2 linked regions of the Nothobranchius furzeri genome follow. The protein of the gene in region 1 purifies or fractionates together with the protein of each later gene. This does not show direct contact. Links are inferred from orthologs where the notes say so. Each region holds a gene or a part of one and is shown on either strand. Other genes may lie near its edges.

Region 1 (2,725 bases):
CACTTGGTTCCCTTTAGGATTTTGTAAAGCCTTATGTGAAAAACCTGGTTTTTTATGGATGCTTCGTTTAAACTGGACAGACAGGTAAGTGCAGTGGTCCCGTCTGGTTTTCATCACTTGAGGCAGCTTGCAAAGCTTAAGTGCTATTTGCCGGAAACGGTCTTTGAACATGTTATTCATCCCTTCGTCTCCTGTCGACTAGATTACTGCAATTCCCTGTACTATGGATTAGGGCATTCCGCCTTAAACTGCTTGCAACTGGTTCAAAATGCAAGGAAGCACGATCACATCTCTCCAGTGCTTGCTTCCCTTCACTGGCTGCCAGTGCATTGCAGGATTCAGTTTAAATGGTCGCTTCATGGTCTGGCCCCTCCTTATACGGATGATTTATGGTCACCCTACACTCCTGCCAGGAATTTGCGTCGGGCTCTCAGTTTTAGTCATCGGTTCCAACGGCTCGCCTAAAGACGAGAGGAGACGGGGCTTTTTCTGTGGCCGGTCCCACTCTGGAACGGTCTTCCTCTGCAGATCAGGACCTCACAAAGTCTGGATGTCTTCAAGTCCTTGCTTAAAACTCATTTATTCAACCCGGCTTTTATGTAAGATGTTTATTTTGTAATCGTCATTCTCTTTGATGCAACGCTGTTTTTATCTCAACTTGCTGATTTTTATGGTTTTTAGTTATACTTGTTCGCGATTCATCTTGTGTTGTACAGCACTTTGGGTTGCAGAAGCAATAATAAGTGCTTTAGAAATAAATGCGACTGACCTTGCTGCTGCCACCTAGTGACCAGAGGGGTTTAATGTTCCAGCACACAAAAAGATGCTACCCAGATTCTCCTGCCTCTCGTGCCAGACCACCCCTCATGCTCCTACAGGAAGGGCACGCCGCTACATGACAAACCCCGCTTTAACCCGTTTGTACTCACTAGGGTCTGCTGAATGGCCTGCGAGGCAGCGCTGGCTGTTCTCATGCTCTCCTTGGCATCTACCACCCTCTCTCTGATGTCCGGTAGAAGCTGATTGAGCTCTTCCATCTCCTTCTTCTCTTCTGTTGCACCGTCAGCTCCTTCTGCTGCGTCAATGATCTCCTGCAACATGGCTGCACACAAAGAAACGTGGACGGCCTCAAACAGGAGCTCTGATCATAGAAATCCTCACGAGGAAGCGCGAGTCCTACCCAGACGGGTCTCTATGACTTTTATGGAGCTGTTGTAGTGTTGAATGGCATGGCTGTAGTGGCCCATGTAGCAAAACGTCGTGGCGATATGGTAGTGGGTCTCAGCCAGCAGGCGACTGTGGGGGGGCAAGTGCGTCAGCTGCAGGGCGAGACAGTCCTGGAAGTCCACTAGGGCCTGAGGATAGTTCCCTGGGGACACAATCTGGTCAGATCCGGACTAAAACCCAAAAACAGTCTGCTCTGGAACTACAAATCTCACCGGATTCAGCGCTGACTTCTCCAAGTTTCAGATAAGCCTGGGCTGCCATCAGCTGCTCGTCTTTGCTCTCCTTTCTGCAGACGGGAAGAGGATTAGCGAGCAGGACAAATAAACGCTGCACGTGGAATTTTAAAATCCATCGCAGCATTAACACGCACCGTTTAAAGATGACTTTGGCGACCTCCAGCATCTCCCACGCCAGCTGCAAGTTCCCGACCTCGTCTTCCTCCTGCAGGGTAAAGACCAGGTTTACAACCAACACAACAAACCAACCACCACTACGGAGCACAGAGGAACGGACATCATCCTGAGCAGCTTTCTCTCCATCCTCTTCGTCCTCGTCGTCATCATCATCATCATCTGAAAATACACACAAAGACGGTTTTAACTCTGGGACACATAGGATAAAGGGAACGCTTAAACTAGGAAACAGATCCACCCAAGTGCTTCAGCGTGTCCCTTTACTTCACCGCCTGACCTGCATTAACCAGTGTTCAGCCCGACCCATCCACCCCTGTGCTCTGTATCCATAGATCTACTACCCTCGTCTTCTTCAGCCTCCGGATCAGACTCCTCATCTTTCATCTCCACAGATACCGCATCGTTTTGCTTTTCTGGTTCGGTTTGGTCTTCTCTGGCGTTAGGTCCTTCAGACTCTTCACCCACATCCTGTGCAGAAGCATCCGAGCCCGGCTGGACTGAACTCTTGGCCTCATTTTCACTGGAGCCTGAAGGCTCTTCAGATCCAGTCAGGCCGTGTTCATCAGAACCAGCCTCTTCCTCCACCTGGCTGCTGCTCGTCACGTCTTTGGACTCCAGCTTTAGGCCAACTGCCTCCATATTTGCCTCTTCTGCCATCGAGTCATAGACCTGCTTCCGCAGCTCTGCTCTGGTTTCCTCTGCACCAGAGTTGCACATATTGATCATCTGACATCAGTTTAATACAAATACACAAAAGGTCAGTTGTACTGCGCCGGCAACAGGGCTGAAGCCTGAATGCCCCAATTTTAATCAGAAAACAATCGCTGGGTTTCCCCCACATGACTGCAGTTGTGCAAAACTCAAACGGGGACAGGAAGTGTTTTGCTACTCTAAACACAGCTCGATAGATCAAAGCTAAGGCTTTAAATGAGCTGGCAGACAAAAAAAAGAAAATACATCTTCCTTTAGGTTATGACCCATGTAGTTCTAAAAGTCAGACTTTTCATACTGGAGGATTTAGCCAGAGCTGAGGCAATCAGCATGACCTTGTGCTGCCCGCCTCATATTACACAGCAAACCAAACA
Region 2 (3,824 bases), on another chromosome or scaffold:
CCAGCAATTACCTTACACGTGGTCTGGTTTTGTCTGGGTACACGTAGTAATTATAAACGGTCATGTAGCCAACAGTTGCGTAGAGAGTCTCCCCGTCTTTATTGTACTTTTCAAATCTGCAGATGAAACACAAAGGCAAACAGGTCAATTACAGGCACACTCCCATGCAGTGTCCGTTTTAGCTTCTCTGTTCTCGTGCCCCCCTCGTCAGGAGCAGCCAGGGCCCGATTGGTACACCTGCTACAACATGAATACATTATGCACTTAATTGGAGTACTGCAACTTAGAGGAAGAGAAGGGCTTGGAGGAGGGTTTGAGCTCCTCAACATCACTTCAGTCCATTTTGCCTATTGTGACTATTAATAAGTGCCAGGGTAAAGAAAACACTGGCAGAGGCTCTTTTTACTGTTAGGACATTGTTCAGTGTTTCAAAAGACAACAGTATTCAATTCAACTCTTGCCCCAGAAAAATCTGAAAGGGGCTCTGGGCACAAAGAAAGCTCTTGCCTGATCAACAATTCTCCTACATGGGGAAATATAATCAAACCGGCCTGGTAATTGGTCACAAGCGCCTCAAAGGGGGGCTTTGTTTTTCAATGACACAATAAAAGGCTTTAAGGGTAAAGCTGGGGGGTTAGTGTCAATTAAGGAGGCTACTCACACGAGAAAGTAGTCCCAACGATCGTCGTCTGTGTCGATGAAGCTGGCGGTCTCGATGAACCACATGAGGAAGGTCTGCAGGCGCTCGTGGTACTCTTGGAATCCAGGGCAGGTGATGTCAGCCTGGGCCCAGTTTAATAAAACCGTTTACGTCTTCCTCTGATGAGTTGGTGAGATTATGAGCGTGGTTTGCGCGTACCTTGTGAATCTGGTAGGTGAGTTCTCCGGCCTCCTCATTGTGGATCGTGTACGAGTGAAGCAGGGTGCCGAAGGGCTTGAACTTGGCCTCCTTCTCCAACAGCGAGATGAAGTCATCCGTGCTGGAGGTGAAACCAGCTGGGATTATTTCCCGGATTTTCCCTCCGACATCATCCGGCTGGATGAAAACAATAAAGCTGGACTCATTAACTTGAAAACACCAGCAGGAAATTTTAGTCTTTCTGTTTTTTGTTTGGCCAAAGCGGCAAAAAAAAACTCAAAGCACACGTTTTTAGAGACGCTGAAAAGAAAACCATTAGGCAATTAAAACTGTCAGCTGAGCAAAGTCCTCGGCACCTCCCCACCCCGACAAGGCCACTTAAATCTGTACATTTACCACTTAGATTGAACCATGAATATGTGATGAAGTTGCCTCAATAAACACATTTCTGCTTCTCACTGAGAAGAAAAAAAAATCTTATGAATTGATTTCAGCTTAACAAACCTTTGGGCATCCATAATAAGAGGCCTCTCCTCTAATCCTGCCAAGTGAACCCAATCAAATGAATCTGGCCCCCGCGTTTTTCAAAGGGCCTCGGAGACAAAGGGGCCCTTCCCCTGGACTTTTTACTCGGTAGAACGTGTGGTTAGTTCAGCTGTAATGTTTGCATTGTATCCATTTCCACAAGGATTGACATGAGAACACTTTGCTAAGCAGCCCTTTCACACCATTTACATGTGTGATGGGCATTATGGGAGCACAGAGACCCTCACTGCTCCGCATTGAAAACTGGGAAATGAAGAAGGTCTGAGCAAAATGCACTACAAAAGGCTAATACAACATACTGCTAATTCCCCCCTTTCAGACATCAGCTAATATCTAACTGGAAGTAATGCACCTGCAGCTGAATGCCTCTTAACTATTGTAATTGTTCAGCCACATTTCTGGAGAACAAGGACCACACTTAAAAGGCCATGGACAAACAAGTCGCTTTGTCCCAACCACTCTCCTGCATACTAGATGCTGAATTGCATGGCCTTCCAGAATGGATGCTTCACTTTGCCGTGAATATAACTCAACAATGCTCCTTGGCAGCAGTCAGTTGATGTCTTTGATTTTCCAACAATAAGCATAAACTATCTAATTAGTTGTTAGTTGTCTAATTTGTGTTTTTTTTAACTCTTCAATCAACTATAAGGGCCGTCTTAGAGCTTGTAAGTTTAAACTCTTCAGGTTAAATCTGTGCAAAAATGATGAATTAAACTACAAGTTTGTAGCTCAAACAAACTAAAAACAATCAACTAATTGGGTTTTCTGGAAAACGTCCAGCATTGTGGTGTTTTTGCCCAATTTAAAGAGGAGAAGGTGAGTTCTGGTCGCCGTCGTGCATGAATGTAGCAGCTGCATCAACTCCAGCTCGGCCTCCCGTCATCCCTTCGCCAGCTGCACCGCACCACGACCGTCCACACGCACTCAGAGACAAACGCTCTTCAGACGAAGCCCGAACTGTGCCGCTCTGCCTGCCCGACAGCTGCACTCAAACCCTTAACAAGGTGAACCCACACTCATGGGGTCAACGGTCAACTCTGAGCAGTGGTGCACACTGACACTGCGTTTCGGGTTCATTGTTGGCTCTAAGCTGTGCTGCCCAAAGAAGAGGAGCGGCTCTTTTCATGTTTAATAAAGTGCTGTTTGTTGATGTATTTATGTCCTTTTTCTAAATCTAATTAAGGGACATTTAGAAAAATAATTCAGTATAATAGTCGTAAATATCTTATTCGCTGTAGATTTGCTTCCAGACACCGTTTGTTTGGCTAATTTGTGTTTACATCCAGCAGAATTATGAGCTTATTTGAGAGCAAAATTTCAAGCCAAAAAACTGTTTTGTTTCTTCAACACCAAAAACTGACAAGTTGAAGAAAAAAAGAGATTTCTTTGCACCAAGTGAAGTGCCAGAGCTCGTGTAGACACAGGCCATCCACCATATTTACAACCTGTCACACAGACACTCTTATGCTGGGCGAGTGGACAAATTAATCGACCGTCAACGATGGACTGGGTCCTTTGCTGAACTTTTTTTTAAGAGCATCATTTTATATGCCTATGTATTAGGTAGGGCTGCTCGATTATGGCAAAAATAATAATCACGATTGTTGTGACTGAAATTGAGATCTCGATTATTTAAGATGATTTTTCAATTTATGTTGATTTTATTTGTTTTTATTCAGTCATAAAACTGCTCAGGGCACAATCAGTCACTAAAATAACTCCTGATTCCCAGTATAAAAAGACCAATATACTTATAGCTCATAGTCTATGACCCAAGGGCTATAAACCTTGGTTTAACTCATTTAAGTCTAACCAGTACAGACCCAAATACCAATATCTTGCAAATACTGACAGCAAGAATTATACAGTGGCATTTATAACAAATACATGCAAATTGCTGTTCACTAAATGTTGCATAGCATTTATTTAGTCGTGTCAAGGTGCTGTAGGAGCGTGCACTAGCACCGTGTCCTCAGAGAGATTAGTTATCAGTGTGAGGAACTTATTTCTATCTATTTCTACCTTATTTATAAACTATTTATTTACAAGTCCATCAGTTAATGTAATAATTGTCCCAACCACAGCTGCACACACACACCCCAACCCAGTCTCACAGCAATCAGGAGCAACCTGCACGTGTGTTTAGCGCGCCGCACGCGCACATTTAGCAGTTTTTAGCGGCTCAGGAGCCCGCAGGTACGGAGTGTGTCACTCACTCTGGTTAACCCAACAGAGCCGACTCTGGGAGCCGTGTCTTTAGCGACTAACACATCACTACATCATTCCCTTTCCTAAAGTCCTGAAGAACGGTCCGGAGCGCAGGCGGATTGTTTAGCTAACCTGCAGGAAATGTCGATGACAGTTATCCAGAAAGTAGCTAAGGGTTACCAGAGATGTTTCTGACGTGTTCGCTAGG

Evidence for each region.
Region 2: the proteins of nasp (region 1) and hat1 purify together in Homo sapiens (affinity purification with mass spectrometry; 3 studies listed by BioGRID and IntAct, with this or other methods). This does not show direct contact. The link is inferred for Nothobranchius furzeri from reciprocal best matches to the Homo sapiens genes NASP and HAT1.

Annotation. Positions count from the first base shown.
Region 1 is NC_091748.1:71,312,344-71,315,068, reverse strand, and holds part of nasp (nuclear autoantigenic sperm protein), read right to left. Parts: intron 2,339-2,725; coding exon 1,982-2,338; intron 1,800-1,981; coding exon 1,741-1,799; intron 1,669-1,740; coding exon 1,598-1,668; intron 1,514-1,597; coding exon 1,440-1,513; intron 1,370-1,439; coding exon 1,181-1,369; intron 1,103-1,180; coding exon 930-1,102; intron 1-929. UniProt on the Homo sapiens protein: Component of the histone chaperone network. Binds and stabilizes histone H3-H4 not bound to chromatin to maintain a soluble reservoir and modulate degradation by chaperone-mediated autophagy.
Region 2 is NC_091754.1:20,781,586-20,785,409, reverse strand, and holds part of hat1 (histone acetyltransferase type B catalytic subunit), read right to left. Parts: intron 1,037-3,824; coding exon 860-1,036; intron 784-859; coding exon 662-783; intron 117-661; coding exon 12-116; intron 1-11. UniProt on the Homo sapiens protein: Histone acetyltransferase that plays a role in different biological processes including cell cycle progression, glucose metabolism, histone production or DNA damage repair. Coordinates histone production and acetylation via H4 promoter binding.